3 linked regions of the Drosophila melanogaster genome follow. The protein of the gene in region 2 purifies or fractionates together with the protein of the main gene of each other region. This does not show direct contact. Each region holds a gene or a part of one and is shown on either strand. Other genes may lie near its edges.

Region 1 (6,819 bases), on a different chromosome or scaffold from region 2:
TAACCGTGCTCCGGTTTACCGACCATAAGCAGAAGGAGCAGCCCTTCATGTGGCTGATAGACCATAAGAAGAAAGCACAGGTCATGCACACCATGTGGCTGATAGAGTCCAATCGACTGTGGCATGGCAATACTAGTGCCAGTCTCCAGGCGGACGACATGCACTTCATAGAGATTGTGCGCACGTTGCTGCAGATATTCGACGACAACGTGGAAACCTACTGGATAGCAAAGGGATTCTACAAGTACACCCGCGAACTGAAGAAGGAGTGCGTCAAGCTGAAGGAGCAAACGCAGAATATACTGAAGCGCGAAGATTTGTCCTTGCTTAAGTGAGTTTGCATATGGTTAGTCGGGTTATTTGACCAATTTTCTTCGATTACTCCTTATAGTCACCTGGAGCTTCTGGGCCTGTTTGATGGCAACTCAACGCTACTGGATAACTGGTATATAACCTGCTTTGCTGGAATAATCTGTACAACTCATTTGGTCAAGATATGGGACAAAGTCTGTGGAGGGTCCCGGAAGATTGTTGTTTTCCTGTTTGTAGAACTAGTTAAGGACATAAGGTCCTCGATACTAAAGCAAACATCTTTAGCAGACGTCAAAAGACTTATAGAAACGGTAAGTAAATAAGGAAACCATTTGCTAAGCCATAACTTATCCAAAATTTGCCTTAGGTAAAGGATCTTGACGGTGTTATTATCGTAAACAAGGCCATCAAATCACTACAAAACAACAGCAGCGAAGTCGAGTACACGCACTAAGTAAATCTACACTTTTATATTGGACATGTATATAGCAGAATGAACTAAATGTATTTGAAGACCACGTCCTTTTTATCGCCCACCGTTTGCAGTTCCAAGGTCACTGGACACTGCATCCAATAGGAGAGCAGCTCCTCCGTGTAACCAATAAGGAAGTACATTTTTCGCGGTGTAATCGCCTGCCGAATAAGGGCCGCGATCCTAATGGTGTTGTGCTGTCGCTTGATAATGACCTCGGAGCAGACGAGGGCATGCCATGTGCCGGTGACAAACTTGCGGATGAACACATCCTCTATGGCGGTCTGGGACGGACGCAGGGCATCCTTCATTGTTGCTAAGATAGAAGGTGGCCATCAAAATGCTTCCTTAATAAAATTTTCTCACAACTTACACGTGTTCCATGAGTTCCACGATTTGCGGTGGCCAATAAAATGCGGCGGATTGGCCATCTCGTAGGTAAGAGGCCTGTTTCGCTTTGTGGTTATGCGGTATCGCCCGGATTGCACGCGACAGCACACGGAGCTGGTGTGGAATCCTGACCGGCTGAGCTGCTGCACCTCGGTCGCCACCTGGGGCAACAGCTGCAATAGATTAGGTTATTTTAATATATAATTTGTCCTGTTTGTTGTTATTTAACACACCTTTTTCAAGAAGTTCATTATTTTGCGGCAGAAACAATTTTGCGTCCAGCAACAGCTGATTGACGTGACGTAACGGTTCGCTAGAGATGGACAAATTTATAGATAAGTATTCGATATTATTATTGTGTAGTGAAAATATTTTCTATAAAATAAAAAACAACATTGAAGGAAGTAGTTAAATAAAAACACAGAAAGATTAATTTTTAGTTGTGTAAATGCCCTTTTTAGTTCTTAAATGCAATACTTGGATCTCTATTGCATTGATTAAAATCGATTTTTATTTTGTTTTAAAGCGGGGCAGAGTTGTCAACAGTTGTCGGTGGGAAAATGTAATAATGTAATGTAATAAAATTATTGCACGCTTATTTAAAATATATAAATAAACAACATTTTGAGAGCTTCCTTAATAAATAGAGTTAACTTTGTATTAATCCCTTTATTCGAAAGAACTTTGACTGATCATTGAACTTGGGCAGAACTAGCTATAAATTAGCTTAATCGGTAGCACTGGAGCGCTGAGCCTGCGCGCTTGGAAAATGGCTTAAACGCAGGCCATCTCAAACAAAGATCGAGGATCTCAGATCAGAAGGAACTACCTGTTGAAGCGACCGTGCAACAGGACTCATCCAGAAGCAAAGCTGCAAAGGTTTATTCCCAGAATCCCTGGTATCCGAATGCACTAATAGGTGAGGATACATTCAAAGTAATGACGCTGAACGAGAGCGACGCTACTCGCCTGGAGCTGACGCGCAACTTCCTGGAACTGTCTCGAAATCCGGAAACATGCACCGCCCTGCGCAGCTCGGACTGTATCCAGCTTCTGGTGCAGATTCTGCACGCCAACGACGAAGGCCTCTCCACGGCGAAAAAGTACGCCAGCCAGGCGCTGCACAACATCGTCCACAATAATCCGGAGGAGAAGGAGCGCCAGCGGGAGGTGAAGATGCTGCGCCTGCTGGACCAGATCCTCGACTACTGTAACTTTCTGCACACCCAGTTGCAGAGCGGCGGTGAGGCTATCGCAGATGATGAAGATCGTCATCCGCTGGCGGCTATGAAGCTCCTGATGAAAGCCAGTTTCGACGAGGAGCACCGCCAGACTATGTGCGAACTGGGAGCCCTCAAGGCGATTCCCAATTTGGTCCACCTTGATCATGCGGTCCATGGACCGGCTGCCGGTAGGGAACAGTGCAACGCCCTCAGGAGCTACGGCCTCATGGCCCTCACGAATCTCACCTTCGGAGACGAGAACGTCCATAACAAATCGTATCTGTGCGGTCAGCGACAGTTCATGGAAGTGGTCATTGCTCAATTGAACACGGCTCCGGATGAACTGCTACAGGTGAGTTTAATCTTGGAGATTAAGAAAAAAAGATCGTAATTTAATTACCGTTGATCTCATCAGGTTCTTGCTGGTGTGCTTCGCAATCTTTCGTGGCGCGCGGACAAACACATGAAGACTATCTTTAACGAGCTGGGTACTGTGACCTCCTTGGCTCGAGCAGCCATGCAAAACAAGAACGAGAACACTCTCAAGGCCATACTTTCAGCCCTTTGGAATCTCTCAGCGCACTGCAGCACCAACAAGGCGGAGTTTTGTGCAGTAGACGGAGCACTGGCATTTTTGGTCGGAATGCTTAGCTACGAGGGTCCGAGTAAAACTCTTAAGATCATCGAAAATGCAGGCGGCATTCTTCGAAATGTATCGAGCCATATTGCGGTGTGTGAGCCGTACCGACAAATCCTAAGACGGTACAATTGCCTTGCCATTCTGTTGCAACAGTTGAAATCGGAGAGCCTAACCGTGGTAAGCAACTCCTGCGGAACTCTGTGGAATCTCTCGGCGCGCTGTCCCGAGGACCAGCAATACCTCATTGACCACAATGCCATCCCGCTCTTGCGGGCCCTAATCAGCTCCAAGAACTCCATGATTGCGGAGGGCAGTGCCTCGGCTTTGAAAAACCTAGTTAATTTCAGGGCCACTCAGGAGCTTATGCCCAATGGAGATGGTGGGTCACTGCCACTAGACAAGGAAGCTGGCCATGGAGGTACGCTGCCACGGAGATTCAGCTCACTGCGCCTAAGCTCAAATCCCACGGGATCGCTTAAGAAAGTGCGACCCTCAACAGTCAGCACAACTGGCTTTCTGAACAGAAAATGTGAGAGCCGAGAGTCCATTTACTCGGGCAAATCCGATTCCACTAAATACTCAACCAAGTCGGAGGGAGCGAAGAATCCCTTCGAAATTGTGACACCCACTGAAGAGCAGCCCATTGACTACTCCATGAAGTACATGGAGCACAAACCCAATAGCAGTAAGACCTTTGAGATCGACTTGGATCAGCCAACGGATTTCAGTGCTAGATATAAGGAGAGACGATCCGCTCAGACGGCACAGCCGGAGCTGAAGTCGGAGACCAATGAGATTAGAAGTAAGGAGTTGCAACTGACAAAGTCCTCCTCGGCCACGGAGCTGCGCAATAGTCCTGGCCTGGTGGCGGTTTCAGCAGCTAAGCAGAAAATTGCCACCGAAACGGAGACGGAAACGGCAGAGCGACCAATAAACTACTGTGAAGAAGGGACTCCCGGCAGCTTCAGTCGCTTCGACTCGCTCAACAGCCTCACAGAGAAACCGGAGAAATGTATGCCGCCAAAAACTCCAACGAAAACTGCGGTTCTCCCGGTGCACGTTGACGGAAATACGCCTCAAAACATCGATTCCGCACTAGAAACTCCATTAATGTTTTCGCGTCGCAGCTCTATGGACTCATTGGTTGGCGACGACGAAACGGTTGCCTGCGAGGACAATGGATCCGTGATCAGTGAATACAGCCGGATGCAGAGTGGTGTTATTTCCCCCTCAGAGCTGCCCGATTCACCCACCCAGAGTATGCCTCAATCTCCGAGAAGGGACAGAAAAGTGTCCACTCAAAATAACTTGGACACACCTGAACAGAAGCCCAGTACTGTGTTTGAGGACAAGTTGAACAGATTCCACGTGGAGCACACGCCTGCTGCCTTCTCCTGCGCCACCAGTCTAAGTAATCTGAGCATGATGGACGACTCTAATGCAAACGCTATTCGAGGACAGCGTGGAAATGACATCAACGGCAATGGGGATGCTCCTCGCAGCTATTGCACAGAGGACACTACTGCCGTGCTTTCCAAAGCGCCAAGCAATAGTGATCTGTCCATTTTGTCCATCCCGAATGATCTAAATGCGAATGAAGCGCAGCCAGTGCCTGCTCCGCGAGCTGATGTTACCGGAATGGACACTCGGATGCCGGCAGAAGATGCAATCTCTAAGATGCGCTGCGGTGGCAATGCATTGCCCAGTTATCTGCCAGTGTCGGATGAAATGAGCAAGTACTATGTCGAGGACAGTCCCTGCACGTTTTCGGTCATCTCGGGACTATCCCATCTCACTGTTGGCTCTGCTAAGGCTGGGCCTGTTCTGAAGCTGCCAATGAGGACTGCAGAAGAGGCTCAGGCACCCAAACTTCCTCCCAGACGTAGTGCCGTTCAAGGAGATGCGGAGCCACGCTTACCGCCGAAGAAAAGCGACTCACTGAGCTCATTGTCCATGGACTCGGATGACGACTGTAATCTTCTAAGTCAGGTGAGAAAAGGATACTTCATTCAAAACACTTGATATATTTCACCATATAAACATTTTGTGAGAGACTCACTCAAAAATAAGTGTCTTTGTAGATTTAGCAATCGGAATGTTGATATTTCACAAAAGTTAAATTTAAAATGCAGTCAGAAAATTCTCGCTAAAATCAGAAATATTAAAGTTGTTCCCTCTTTTTATAGGCCATTGCTGCGGGAAGTTGTCGACCTCAGCCCAGCGGTGCCAGTACCAGCTCCAGCCTGGCGAACGCTAGTACCAGCACTCTATGCAGGGAAAATGGGCAGTCAAAGAAGCAGGTGGAGCATGGCGATAAGCCGAACTACAGCTCAGATGACTCGCTAGACGACGACGACGATGATGCACGGTCCAAGTCGCTATTTGAGCAGTGCATTCTGAGCGGCATGCATAAGTCCAACGACGCCTTGGAGTCGGAGGGTGAGCCGCCGGGGCAGCGCCAGGAGATCAGTGCCCGGGATCGATTTGTCAGTAACCAGGTGCGCCAGATTGAGTCCATGTTGGCTGGGCGTCAGCACTAGAAGCGGATGGTTGGTTAATTGAGAAGCGCATGCATTTGTTTAGTGGCTTTTAATCTTGTCTACGCAATAATATTCTCACGGTCTCAATTTTCCTATAGTTCAGATTAAAAATTTGCACTTAAATTTAACTCTCCAACACGTGTAATATTATGTTTACCCTCTCACTAAACAATTAAGGAAACTAAAAAGGGTGATAAGAAATGGGATACAGTCGCGGTATAAATATAAATAAAAGTTGCGATCAACTGAGGTCCGGGTAACTCCTAACATGATGCTACTGTGATGAACTAGCTAGAGAGCTCAGTAGAAACGTTTTCGCGCGTTGCGATCCTTGAAGTAGGAGATGGCGAAGATGGCCACTGCAGCCGCCACGACAACCACGAAGAGAAGGATGAAGAAGATCTTGGCGTTGGACATTCCCGGCTTGGGATCTTCTTTGTGCTCGCGCGGGGGCTCGAATGTCTTGGCATTCGGTATGATATTGGAGCGCCGGATAATCTCATCGTGCTGCGAACAAGAAAGAAAGTAAAAAGATGGTTATTGCAACAAGAAAGTAAAACTGGTTTTCAGTAATATGATATAAATATTATAACACACGGCTTATAAAGATAAACATGATTAGGCATCAAACAATGTGTTTAAAGCCAGCTGCTTAATTATTACAAGTTGCAGCAATTAAAAACAAGTTCACTCTTTTTTCTTTATACGTATACGCAGTTATTGAAACTTAAGTCCGCTTTTGGGTTCCTTGCACTCCTTATCGCGTTAGCCAAATAGCAGACAGCTGAGTAATGCTTACTTCGCTTCCGAAGTTTGGCAAACAAAAGTGAACTTACATTTACGTTCAAGTCCAGGTCATAGAACTTGAAACTGTGAATATCGTGATTGTCGGACAGATCACCCGTCGTCGCAGACATGCCGAAGTGGTAGCCCGTGGGTAGCTCAACGTTGGCCACTACAAAGCAGTTCTTCCATTCGTTGCGGTTCTCCAGATCTGTGGAAACCGACAGAATGTCGTTTTCGTATCGAATGCTAACCAGCGTCTCGTACTCCACATTGCGGAAACGAACTTCGCAGCCGGCCAGCTGAGTGTGCGTTCCATCGCGATCGTGGTCGTAGCTCCAGCTGCCATTGTTCACCATGGCGCTGAGATATGGATGTTGGTGCTACAAATATAATGTTAATACATTTACATTCAATGCCTTGCGTAATGACATACGTTGTGTGGACCATTGTGATTGC
Region 2 (7,673 bases):
TTTACTTAATTTGCAGAAAACGATCAATTATTGCTGAGCACTTTTTTTAATGCCCATAATTTCGATGATTCAACACATATTCACGGTTTGTCAAAATGTTAATTTCAGCGTTTTGGGAAACAGCTGCATCATAAGTTCCCTTAAAAACAGTGAAAACTAAGTTTATTGGACTATATTACGTTTTCTGTTTGCCTTATAGAGTGTCCACTGTATTCCCGTGCTTTGTTTTATCTAGCTTTTTTTGTTGGCAACACTGGCTGCCCAACTCTCTCCCACTCTACGCCCCTTCCTTACAACGCCATCTCTTTTTATGTTCCCTTTTAATTACAGGTGCAGAGCGGGACGGAAGACGCCGGCCAAAGGGGGAAGGGGTGCGTGGTAAGGGTGAGTGGGGGAAACTTGGCTCCAAAAGTGCGCGATCAGCATGAGAGAGTTCATTAACAGTTGCAATTGAGCCCGCGAAGCACACTGTAATTGTTGTAATTCCAATTTCCCACCCAACTTATACGCAGCTTTCCAACATTTCCATTTCGCTTACCTGTGCAGCTTGTAGATGAATAGCACCAGGAACGAAATGTAGATGAGGGCCACGAAGACCAGCGGCAGCAGAAAGGTGACAATCAGGGGGGTGAGGAAGCGATATAGCCATAGCGAATAGTCCAGATCGATGTAGGAGGCTAGAATCACAAGGTATGCAGTTGGTGGAGGGGCATTTGTTATGTATGTATGTATGTACATAGGTCAGCGGTGCGCCTTATCGGGCGCCAAATATTCGATATTACTCACACAACAGGGAGTGCAGCGTTTTGTACAGGTTCTCCAGAAATTCCATTGTCAGGCGCTGCTCCACCTCATTTGTTGTTCTTGCGCGAAAAGAGAAGCGACCGCCCACCACAACAAAAACACAAAAAAAAACGGTAGAAAAAAGAAGGGAAAATACGACAGAACAAAAAAAAAAAAAAAAAAAACAAATCGGTTTGGCCTGATTTTGTACACTTTCTTCGGCTCGCTTTGCGCTTTTCGAATTCTTTTCGCTTCCTCCTGCTTGGCGATTCTTTTAAATGGTCATCGTATAGTGCGTTTCATTTGAATCAGTATTTAGTATTTGCGCGGCTTGAAATGCATTTTATTTGCATGTTATTTGCTATTGTTATTGTTATTGTCAGTCGAGACTGTTTGCTGGTTTGTTTGTTGTGATTTTCCTAGCACAATGTAAACAATTCGCGGCGCTGCGCTCCACTCGGCTCACACGCAGTAGAGACAACCGACACCGTTCGCAGTCAGAAACATTGTGATCGCGCCGCGCTTTTTTTTGGTTAATAATACTACAAAGTAGCGATTCTTTTATTGTTGTTCCTTCATTCCATTTCGTTTGCTTTTCTGTTGCTCATCTACGTTCTTTGCACCTGGCAACGCCGGCCCAGCTGTTCTGGCTGCAGTCGTTGCCAGACTTTGGTTCTTGGCACCCAGAACAGAACAGTGATGCTCTCTTGGCTAATCACACCTGTTTCTAGCCGGTCAAGGAAGTTCGAGGAAAAACAAAGTTGTTAGTATACTGCATATTATGAATGGCAAGTTCCCAATTAGAATACAACCGCCAACTTGAATTTGAACATTCGCTTATTGGTTTGTATCGATTGAGTGCTATCGGTAATTGCCGGGTGCCGTGGCACCATCGATAGTACCGCCAGTGAGCAGACAGTTGTGCCAGCACTAGCACTTATCGACATTAAATCGGAAGTCGCATTGCAATCGCATGCAATTTGTTTTGTTATTAATTTTCCAAATAATCTCGGGCCTGGTGCTGCTGCCAATTGTGATTCACTACGTCTATTACATAATAAATGCGATTGCCGGCGATCTGTGCGAGCAGAAGAGAGCGCAAAGAGAGCAGCAGCTGCAAAGGAGCCCCACTCCGCGCCACCAAAACCGCCACCCCCCGCATCCGCCACCCACCGAAGAGGAGCCTGTGCTTTCCATAAACAATTTGACAAATTCTAGTCGCTCTCCGACAGCAGCAGCAACAACAACTGCAATGCAAACAAACGATGACGCCAAGTTTATAAAAAAGTGCGTATGTATGGGATTAGATCGTGCGTGCGTGCGTGTGTGTGTTTGTTTGTTTTCATGTGTGGGTGTACAAGTGGCCGAAGAACAAAAGAAATAGCTAAAGCACTCGTCATGCGTCAGAAAGAGAGCCACAATCACCTGGCGCTCTCTATTGATTTTCCACTTTGCGTTCACGCTTCCTCCTTTTGTTTTTTGTTATTTGCAACCGTTAATCGTTATTCGTTATTCGTTGGGTTCTTAACTTTTTTGTTCGTTTTATTAAAACAAAAGCACAAGTTAAGCCAGGCTCAAAAAAAGAATTGGATTGAAAAATCTATTACCTCATTACGCATTGAACCGCATAATTTATGATTGATCCAACAATTTGTCTCGCTCTCAATCCAAAACAAATGCAACGACAACAACAAACAAACAAACAACGAAGGAGGTGGAAAGGCGGATCCATTGAACCGCATCCCACGGATAAGGCGCTGATTGTCAACTACCAACTGGAGGCCACCGTCTTCGGGGAGCCCAACAATCCGATGATCGAGGAAAAGAAGGTAAGAACGCACGGTTACACATCGCTGCACTGGGAGAAAATGCTAGTAGATATTAGAAAATTAAAATAGGACCAGCATTATTGGTATCAAAGATGTTGATAGGGAAAGAATATAATAACAACAATATGCGAACATCTGTAACTTAGTTCTTAACTATGTTAGGTTCATAAAAAAAAAGGAAACAAAGTTGATCCTTAATCGAATAGGTTGAAAAATTGATCTAGATGTGTACACATACATATATTGCTTATTAGTTTAAATACTAGCAGTCATTGTTCTACAAAAACATCCGAATGAGTACTTAAAAAAGCTACTTCTGTTTCTTCCGGTGTGCCCCGAAAAGGGTTAAGGGGCGGGGGGCAGAAGCTGACATTGAGCGGCCCAATCGATAGCGCAACAACAACGGGGTCGATGACGGCCTGCGCTCCAAGTAGTGAGTGAAAAATGTAAAACCACAGCAACAAAAAAAAAAAGATACCCAAAAGCGGTTGGTTGGCCGGGTCTTTAACCTCAATTCACGTTTTTTGGCCGAGCGACAAGCTTATTTTTCGCCGATTGTTCACGACCATAAATATGTACTACATAAGTAAGTCTCTTATGTTTTGCTCTTGGCCATAAATATTGGCGACCAAAAAAGTTTTCAGCTTAGATGCGAAGTGGTTAATTGCCCTGAAGTGGTCCTAAACTAGTTCCTCAATCCTAATAATTACTCTATGTTTATAAATAGCAAAATAACAGCAAAAACAATTAGCCTAATAGTACATTATTTCAGTCGTTAACTAATGCATGTATTGTATTTAATCGCCCAGCACTGTCAAAAAATCATACGACTCCGTTCGCTGAACGCCAAAACGGATCCGGCTGCCTTGGCACGAGAAGTGGTGGAGAAGTGCGATCTCATCCACAAGTCCCAGCTTAATGACGTCGAGCAGATAATCTTTTATCTGAAGAATCGCAAGGATAATGCAAGCAATGGTAAGCAGTTAGATTGTTAGCAGAAATCCATACTAACACTCAGTACCCATTAGATATACCGGATAACAACACTCACAGCCGGCGATCGGCGGCGCTGCACACTTCGCACACCCGCTCCTCTGCTCGATCGCACAGCAGTGTGGCGGCCATGACCAGCAGCACCGGCAGCGGCGGAGGATCCACTGGAGCTAGCAATGGTGTCTCGAATGCCCTGAGTGCCGCCACGCCCACGGCGGATGTGTCCATAAACAATATCGATGAGTATGTGGAGCTGCTGTACGAGGAGCTGGGCGAACGCATTCGAGGCTCGGCCATGATCCTACAGATGGCGCGAAATCCCGATAATCTTGAAGAGCTGGAAAAGAATGGTAAGGATAAGTTTGCAGTTCTGTAGTTTTGAACCCAAACCCAATGTACTATTTCATCATTTTAGAAGCCTGCCTCAGCGCCTTGTCACGTGTTCTGCGCGAGGACTGGCGCAAATCCCTGGATCTCTCCACCAACATAATCTACATATTCTTCTGCTTTTCCACATACACCAAGTTTCATCCGCTCATTGTGCAATATAAGGTGGGAATAGAGTTTCTTAATTAAGTTCTAAGCACTCATTTAATCGTTGTTAATCTATTTCAGATTGGATCGCTGTGCATGGATGTGATTGACTATGAGCTGCGTCGCTACGAGACAATGAGAAATGAGCTGGACGTGCGCAAACAGCCCAATGGATCATCCACTCCACATTCGGCAAAGGCCAGCAAGGAGAAGCTGAACCGCAGCACCGACGATTTCCTGGACATCATGAACGAGGAGAAGCCCAAGGAGGTAATTTTATTTCTATAAGTTCTTGAAAAACATATCTATCGAATACTCAACAAATTCACTTTCAGATGGAGCCGCCGCGTCGTCGCATTCCGGAGCTAAAACAGCGTCCCAAGTCGGGCAATTGGAGCAGCTTTCACGGCTCCATGTCATCGTCGCTGATCAAGAGTCAGATCCTGAATAGCAGCTATCACGAGTCCCTTTGCGCCGGCGGTTCACCTGGCGGCGATACTCCGGCTGTGCCCGCTGAACAGAAGGCCCAAAGCAACGAGTCGCTGGACAGGAATGATCCCAAAGTGAAGAAGGAGGAGATCGATCGGCTGAACAAGCAGCTTAAGATCTTTGCCAAAAAGCAGGAGCAACTGTTGCGCGTGGCCTTCTACCTGCTGCTGAACATGGCCGAGAATGTTAAGCTGGAGGAGAAGATGCGCCGCAAGCATATCGTTAAGATGTTGGTCAAGGCGCTGGATAGGCAGAATATCGATCTACTCATGCTCGTCAGCACGTTCCTCAAGAAGCTATCGATTGTGGGCGACAACAAGGACGAGATGGGCGCTTTGAACATTGTGGCCAAGTTGCCACGATTGTTCCAGAGCACGCACACGGATCTGGTGCAGGTCACCTTGAAGCTGGTCTTCAATCTCTCCTTCGACGGCGGACTGCGTCGCAAGATGATCGCCGCCGGCTATCTGCCCATGCTGGTGATGTTCATCAACGATGAGAAGCATCACGGCATTGCTGTGAAAATACTGTACCACATGAGCTTGGATGACAAAGTGAAGGGCATGTTCACGCAAACGGAGTGCGTGCAAATGGCCACGGATGCCATAATCCTAAACCTCAATGTTAAAGTCGATTTGGATCTCATTGCCTTGTGCATTAATCTCTCGCTAAATCGCCGTAATGCCCAGATTATGGTGGAGGGCCAAAGATTGCATAGCCTAATGGATCGGGCCTTCAAGTACCAGGATGCCTTGCTGATGAAGCTGCTGCGCAACTTGTCGCAGCACGAGTCCCTGCAGCTGCAGTTCATCGACTATGTGGGAGATCTGGCGCGCATTTTGACCATCTGCGATGACGAGGCCTTCATAGTCGAGTGCCTCGGCATTTTGGGTAACCTGGCCCTCACCGATTTGGATTACTCGCAGATCTTGCAGAACTTCCAACTGATTCCATGGATTAGACAGATACTGCTGCCGTGCGCCAGAATGGACGACCTTGTGCTGGACACCATTGTTTACTTGGGCACCTGTGCCTGCGACGAGTTGTGTGCCCTGCTCTTCTGCCGCGCCAAAGTGGTTATATCCCTGATCGAGTTGCTTAAAGCGAAGCAGGAGGATGACGAGATTGTGCTGCAGATCATCTTTGTGTTTCAGCAAATCCTGCGACACGAAAGCACCAGGGAGTACATGATCAAAGAGACGGAATCGGCGGCCTATCTCATCGATCTGATGCACGACAAGAACGAGGAGATCCGCAAGGTGTGCGACTATTGCTTGGACATTATTGCCATAAGCGACAGCGAGTGGGCCAAGCGCATCAAGGTGAGTTGCTTGCCAGTCCAAATATGGCATATCTTAGTACAAACTTGTTTGTGTTTTCTTGTTCTCGTTGTTACATGGCAGCTGGAGAAGTTCCGCAACCACAATTCGCAGTGGCTGTGCATGGTGGAGTCGCAGCAGGACCAGGACAATGAGCAGGACTACGCCGATCAGGAGGACGAGTGCGACAATGATCTGGACACGTATCTGCGCTCCGAGTACTTGGACAATTGCGATCTCTACAACGACAATGCCGACAATGACAGCAATAGCAACAGCAACCATAGCAACAACAATCCGGCCAGCCCGGCCATGTCCACCTACAGCAGGCCACTGAGCACGTGAGTTTTGACCAAGTTTCCACTTCGATTCGAGTAATTAAGTGATAAATCACATGGTACAGCTATCGCCGCAGCCAGGATCTCGATGATTTGTACAACATGACCTCCAGTTCCAAGTCGCAGGGCTCCAGCGACAACAACTACATATTCAAGTCGAACAAATCCCTGGATGCCGATGGTCTGCACGAGGAGCTGCTGATGGCTTAAATGAGGAGAAAGGTCCTAACCCGAATCGATTGAATTTGAATTAAGATGCTTCTGCCGATTGCCCGCCCTCCCGTGTACATGTTTAGTCACTCTGCCTATTAACGACCTTCTGCTTGGATTTATTGGATATTTATATATATATATATATGTATACATATATACGACACCTTTCACGCTTGTTAGTCAAAGACGTTAAATGATTTTAGCGACGCGGCAACTTTGTACTCAAGACATTCAAAATGAGCAACGGCGCACAGACACTGGTTAGTTTAAGTTTGGTTACTTACTTATTGGTATGGTATTTTTTTGTTTGTTATTTATTAATATTTAATTTATTGAGGTCTTGTTTAAGTGCGATGTATGGCTTAGCTTCCACTTTGGTTGTTCGCAACGCAATTACTGTGCAATAATCTCTCACTTAAAGTATTACGTCGAACGTTTTTAGTTGTACTTGTTTTAGTTTACCGAACCTAAACTTTTCGTTTTCTCGAATATCTTACGAACAAAAGTCAAATTGTAATATTAAACAGTGGGCGACAAATGAAACGCCGACATAATGAAACGCCGAAGAATATAAACAAAGCTAATGTAAATGTTCACCTAGTTCGTATTGTTTTCTTTGGTTTTGTTGGCTGTTCAAAAAAAAAAAAAAAAAAGGGGTGAGTACTTTTCCCATTCCGCAGAGCTGTTTGTCTCGCCATTAAAATGCAACAATTTGAAATAATATTGGCTTTTAATTTTGTGTTACACAATAAGGAATATTAAGTTGCAGTTCGTTTCCGAAACATACTTATGACAGTGGCTAGACCGATCCGATAAACATGCATATATCTAGGTATGTATGTATGGTACGTGTATATATAAATAGAAGAATATGCTCTCTAGTTCACTTTATATATATATATATATATATATATATATATCGTGGATATCCGTAAGGCGAGGCCTTCTAGCGTTCAATGTTAAGCTTAACCTAGATATCTCCACTTCAGCTTCAGCATCGGCATCTCCCACTGATTGGTGTTCCGTTTCCACTTCGATTTGACTTGGATCGCTTCGCACATCTGCCGCAGTTTTTGCACTTAGACTATGGTTTTAACAAATTTTTACACAAATATCAGACACAGACATACATATACATATATAAATATGGAAAATATCGACTGGAGGAGAGAGTG
Region 3 (5,771 bases), on a different chromosome or scaffold from region 2:
ACATAGACATCGAGTTGTGGGCACGGGAGTGTCCGAAGGCGTGCCGCAACTTTGTGCAACTCTGCCTAGAGGGCTACTACAAGAACACCGAATTCCACCGGCTGGTCAAGGGCTTTATTGTCCAGGGAGGCGATCCGAATGGCGACGGCACCGGCGGCGAGTCCATATACGGACAGCCCTTCAAGGATGAGTTCCACTCCCGACTCCGGTACACGCGTCGTGGCCTCGTCGGCATGGCAAATTCTGGAAAGGATGACAATGGCTCACAGTTCTTCTTCACATTTGCTCCGACACCGGAGCTGCAGAATAAGAACACGCTTTTTGGAAAGATCACCGGCGATACCATCTACAACATGCTCAAGCTGGAAGATGGCATTGTTGACCACCAGGAAAGACCGATGCACGCACATCGCATCGTTTCTACGGAAGTCCTCTCGAACCCATTCGATGATATCGTTCCTCGTATTCTCTCCCAACCTTCCACGAAGAGCAAAAAGACTAAGAAGGAGCGACAAGGAGTCAAGTAAGACTTACGTTCTAAATCGGAAACCAAATTGTTAACATACTACTAAGTGAAAACAATGAATGATGGCATAATAATGCGGCGTATCTGCAACGTATTGATTTATTTACCATACACTTAAACTGAAGTCTCTAAATACCTTGTAGTGCATTGCTAACGCTTCAATATAATCCACAGAAACTTCGGACTGCTTTCTTTTGGCGAAGAAGCCGAAGGTGACGAGGAGGAGACCAACGTCTATGTTAAACAGAACGCCGGTAAGGCGAAATCCCTGCACGACGTCACAGATGATCCAAAACTCAGCAAGGAGCCCATTCGTGTACCCAAAGTAGAAAAAGCCGACATCGAGGAGCACTTGTCCGACGATTGCCCTGAGGACAGTGTCAAGGATAAACCGTCCACTGCTAGTTCGGATCTCATCAAAATGAAACTGTCTAAGAGATCAAAGAGTGGAGCAGACAAAAAAGTTCAGCCAGTGGAGGAAAAGTCTGATTCTGAGGATGACGAGGATGTTTTGTTAACACGGGAGGAGGAACAAAGTCGAAAAGTCTCGGAGGAAAAGTGAGCTATACTTAAATAGGTTTTATCATGTTTCAAGTCATATAATTTATGTATTTTAGATCCAAGATCCGTGAGGAAATCGCTTCTCTGAAAAAGCAGTATCAAATGGATAAGCAGAGCAAAGACAAACTAGTTAATGGACAAGAGAAAGCAGCAAAGTCCAATGAAATCAAGGGGTCCAGCGAAAACCATTATATTAACGATTTTATAGAGTCTAAGGAGAAGTACACCGCCAAAGTAAAGCTTCAACCGAAGGGACAGTCAAGGTGGGATATATATAAATTTTATTCTTTTCAAAGATTTTACCAATTTTTTTAAACTTTAGAGAGGCATTTACATTGAGCCTACTCTCCAAGTTCCGAACGAAACTGGATAACTTGAAGCAAAAGTCAAGCTCTGATGATGGCGAATCGGAACCGAAGGATATAGACGATCGCGTAGTAGAACAGGAAATAATCGGCGACGATTGGTTGTCGCATACCTTAAATTTTAATAGTACGACTCCGGTTTTAGCTAAGGATGCCAATAAAAAGGGCGACGATTGGTACGATGCCTACGATCCACGAAATCCTCTAAATAAACGTAAGCGGGGCGAAACTGGCTCTAGTAAATCGAGTTCGGGTAAATCAAAAAGCAGTAAACGTGACTTTTAAAGAAAAAATAAAAAAAGATAGTTTCAATAAATATTGATGTATTTATATATATCGTAATTATCTGCTTGCGTATACTATTACCAAAAAACAATTACTATCTACTAAACTGGGTGGTAAGTTAGTGTTGTGCTCATTTCTCTGCCATTTTGAATTGCGCGGTATTGAATTGGGAGTACCGTATTTTCGCTCCATTTGGTGGTGCAACGTTGGTCAGCCTGGGCACACTGCACGTTTGAGCCAGACAAAGTTAACAGCAGCTGAGACAAAAAAGCGAATTCAAGGTGAAGTAATTGGCTTCAAAATAACAGGTAATAGCAGTTGATTGCCAAATCGATTTGCTCATTAGCTCAAGTGGCTGACTAGCTTCAAATTGTGCGTGCAAATCGAGCACAGAAGTGCCCAAATCAGAAGGTTGCGTCAGGAGGGAATTATTGATTTTATTCGTCATTTGTTTTCGGTCGCCACAGCTACTCGACTTTGTTTTTGTTGAGGCGGAGCTGCCTGAGTCACCACCACAGAAAAGAGCACAGTTAACACGGACCTTGTGGATCTCCGGATATTTGGAGATGAGTGCCAAGAGCAGGAGACCTGGCACCGGCAGCAGCCAGACGCCAAACGAGTGCGTCCAGGTGGTGGTCCGATGCAGGCCCATGAGCAACAGAGAACGCTCGGAAAGATCGCCGGAGGTGGTCAACGTGTATCCGAATCGAGGCGTTGTGGAGCTGCAGAATGTGGTCGATGGCAATAAGGAGCAGCGCAAGGTTTTCACCTACGATGCCGCCTATGATGCGAGTGCAACGCAGACGACGCTCTACCATGAAGTGGTCTTTCCCCTAGTCAGTTCCGTTTTGGAGGGATTCAACGGATGTATATTTGCCTATGGACAAACGGGCACTGGTAAAACCTTCACAATGGAGGGAGTACGCGGAAATGACGAACTGATGGGCATAATACCGCGCACATTCGAACAGATCTGGCTGCACATTAATCGCACCGAGAATTTCCAGTTTCTGGTCGATGTATCCTACCTAGAGATTTATATGGAGGAGCTGCGCGATCTGCTAAAGCCCAACTCTAAGCATTTGGAGGTGCGGGAACGTGGATCGGGCGTTTATGTGCCCAATCTGCACGCCATTAACTGCAAGAGTGTCGAAGATATGATCAAAGTGATGCAGGTGGGCAACAAGAACCGCACAGTGGGATTCACCAACATGAATGAGCATAGTTCAAGGTAAGTTTCGGTATAAACAGGCTATACGAATACTCGCATTTCATCAGGAATCCGAGGCTTTCGATAAGGATAAACTTTAGTTAATTAATTATCGTTTACTTGCAGATCCCACGCCATTTTCATGATCAAAATCGAGATGTGCGATACGGAAACGAACACCATCAAAGTGGGCAAACTGAATCTCATCGATTTGGCGGGCAGTGAGCGGCAGTCCAAGACAGGAGCATCAGCGGAGCGGCTAAAGGAAGCCAGCAAGATTAATCTGGCACTCTCGTCGCTGGGCAACGTGATCTCCGCCCTGGCCGAAAGTTCGCCACATGTTCCGTATCGTGACTCAAAGCTGACGCGATTGTTGCAGGATTCGTTGGGTGGCAATTCCAAGACCATTATGATTGCCAACATTGGACCATCCAATTACAATTATAACGAAACGCTTACAACGCTGCGGTACGCTTCGCGGGCCAAGTCCATCCAGAATCAGCCGATTAAGAATGAGGATCCACAGGATGCCAAGTTGAAGGAGTACCAAGAGGAAATTGAGCGACTCAAGCGGCTAATAGGTCCGCAACAGCAGCAACGCAGTGAAAAGCAGGTCACGGCCAAGAAGCAGCGCGTCAAGAAGCCCAAAAAGGAGACCGTAACTAAAGAGATGTCAGACTCTCTGCAGGTTTCAACAATTGAGCAGCCGGTGGAGGATGACAGCGATCCCGAGGGTGCCGAGTCCGAATCGGATAAGGAAAACGAGGCCGAGGTGGCGAAGTCCAACGAGGAACTGGAACGGGAGCGCGTCGAGAACTCAAAACTGGCAGCCAAACTCGCAGAATTGGAGGGTCAACTTGTTCGCGGCGGAAAAAACCTGCTGGACACGTACAGTGAGCGCCAGATAGAGCTGGAGAAGAAGCTGGTGGAGATCGCTGAGCGCAAGAAGCGTGAAATTGAGATCCAACAGCAGCTGGAACTGCAGGAGGAGACTACTCTGGAAATTCGCGAACGAAATGTTTCACTTGAACAAGAGGTGGAGCTTAAGAAGCGCAAGCTCTCCAAATGCTACGCCAAATATTTGGCTCTTCAGCAGGAACTCAACGATTGCAAGTCCGACCACAACCAGGATCTTAGGGAGCTCGAGATGGCTCAGAACGAGCTGGTCAAGGAGCTAAAACGCCAGCTTCTTATCATCGACAATTTTGTGCCCATCGAGGTCAAGCAGCGCCTGTACACGCAGGCCAAGTATGACGAGGAGCAGGAGGAATGGAAATTCTCTTCGATGTCGCTGCCCACGCCTCCTGGTGGTGATGGCAAGTTCAGCAGCAAGCGACCGGTATCGCATCCTCAGCGCAGAAGGCCCACCTCCGAATACGCTCTGCAGGAAGCCAAATCGAATTCACCGAGCTCTCTACGCTTCAAGAGCGAGAACATCGTGAACTACGAGCTGGAGATGCCGTGTCGCACCACCCAGGAGTACCGTACGCCTAAGGTGTCCGCCTCGCTGCAGGCGGTGCTCGCTCAAGCCATGCAAACGGGCGGAGATGATATAGACATCGTGGACTCGCACACAAACTCACTGCGCAGCCGTCTAGAGAACATTATCAACGCGAATGCCAATGGAGGAGCTGGACCAGGTGCTGGCGTCGCTGTGGGCAGCTCCATACCCAATGTTCGCAACATTAAGTCAAGCCGGGGGCTGCCAAGTGCCGCCTCAAATCTGGACTCGAACCGCCGTCCGCCCACGGGCCGTCTGCCGGCAAAGAAGCCAGCTTCGGCGTATCCCAAAGCTCGCGGCCTGGTCAACAAATAATCACAAACGATTTTAATCGAATTGAATTGCATCTAACCATTGTCGTGCAAACACAACACTAACCAAAGTATTTCATAGTCATCGCAATATGTACACCTCGGTACTTTTAGCCCAATCTACTCACATTTCACGCTTTGTAAAAGTTTCCTTTTGTTTTAAGTCATCTCATGCACTGGCCCTAGAATTATAAAGATTTTTTATTAATTCCACTTTAGTTAATGCCATATGCCTTGAGTGACTTGGCCAGTCGACCCCAACACGCTTCCTTAATTATTTTTATGTTTATTTGTTACTCGACTCGAATTATTGTTATTGATTTAAATGCAAACATACGTACGTTTTGTGTTCGATTAAGTGCAATCCAAGCTTGAGTTAAATCCAGCTGCAACTGTCTATTATTTACTTAGTAAATGATTTTTAGTTAATATTATAAACCAAATAAAGCAACTCCGTAAACACAAAAACACCTCTGAGTTAATTTGTTTTTGGGGATTGGAAAACTCATGATGAATAAGTACTACTACAACGTTTGTAGATAAATGCAGTTTCGTTTAATATAAATGCAATATTCAAAATACTGGACTCCATTTGATTTCCATTTTTCACTTGATTACTTTCAGAGAGCGACCGACTTCAATGAATGCATTAATTGCCCGATCGATTTCGGCTTCCGTGTGGGCAGCGGAGATTTGAACACGGATGCGTGCCTTTCCCTGAGGAACCACCGGATAGCTAAATCCGATGACATAGATGCCACGGGCTGAAATTTAATATTAGTTAAATATATATGTAGATAAAGGGATGATTAAGATTTCAACTAACTTAGCATCTCATCGGCAAACTGGGAGGCAAGACGAGCGTCACCTAGCATAACGGGGCAGATGGGATGGTTCTCGCCGGCTATGGTGAATCCAGCCTTTGTCATGGCCTGCCTAAAGCGTTGCGTGTTGCTCTGGACGCGCTGGGTGAGCTCGCTGGATTGGAGGAGCATGTCCATTACCTTCAGAC

What was found.
Region 1: the proteins of Kap3 (region 2) and Apc2 purify together in Drosophila melanogaster (affinity purification with western blotting, with the first as the bait; one study listed by BioGRID). This does not show direct contact.
Region 3: the proteins of Kap3 (region 2) and Klp68D purify together in Drosophila melanogaster (affinity purification with western blotting; 4 studies listed by BioGRID, with this or other methods). This does not show direct contact.

The regions. Positions count from the first base shown.
Region 1 is NT_033777.3:24,162,061-24,168,879, forward strand, and holds Apc2 (adenomatous polyposis coli 2), read left to right. Parts: upstream 1-1,905; 5' UTR 1,906-2,113; coding exon 2,114-2,749; intron 2,750-2,812; coding exon 2,813-5,026; intron 5,027-5,223; coding exon 5,224-5,577; 3' UTR 5,578-5,877; coding exon of another isoform or gene 5,878-6,084; 3' UTR 6,085-6,204; downstream 6,205-6,819. Other genes in the region: TBC1d7 (TBC1 domain family member 7), read left to right, coding at 1-331, 392-623, 680-766; mRpS24 (mitochondrial ribosomal protein S24), read right to left, coding at 811-1,100, 1,158-1,347, 1,408-1,425; CG5510 (uncharacterized protein), read right to left, coding at 5,878-6,084, 6,414-6,743, 6,797-6,819.
Region 2 is NC_004354.4:11,333,611-11,341,283, reverse strand, and holds Kap3 (kinesin associated protein 3), read left to right. Parts: upstream 1-1,695; 5' UTR 1,696-1,756; coding exon 1,757-2,070; intron 2,071-2,459; coding exon of another isoform or gene 2,460-2,494; coding exon 2,495-2,612; intron 2,613-3,421; coding exon 3,422-3,587; intron 3,588-3,640; coding exon 3,641-3,955; intron 3,956-4,020; coding exon 4,021-4,157; intron 4,158-4,220; coding exon 4,221-4,409; intron 4,410-4,474; coding exon 4,475-5,950; intron 5,951-6,031; coding exon 6,032-6,288; intron 6,289-6,350; coding exon 6,351-6,495; 3' UTR 6,496-7,097; downstream 7,098-7,673. Other genes in the region: CG34348 (uncharacterized protein), read right to left, coding at 539-677, 787-832.
Region 3 is NT_037436.4:11,793,654-11,799,424, forward strand, and holds Klp68D (Kinesin-like protein at 68D), read left to right. Parts: upstream 1-1,960; 5' UTR 1,961-2,045; intron 2,046-2,204; 5' UTR 2,205-2,303; coding exon 2,304-2,968; intron 2,969-3,073; coding exon 3,074-4,763; 3' UTR 4,764-5,222; downstream 5,223-5,771. Other genes in the region: CG10907 (uncharacterized protein), read left to right, coding at 1-523, 701-1,084, 1,144-1,350, 1,410-1,737; Gcat (glycine C-acetyltransferase), read right to left, coding at 5,366-5,523, 5,586-5,771. UniProt on the Drosophila melanogaster protein: Plus-end directed microtubule motor that may be used for anterograde axonal transport and could conceivably move cargos in fly neurons different than those moved by kinesin heavy chain or other plus-end directed motors.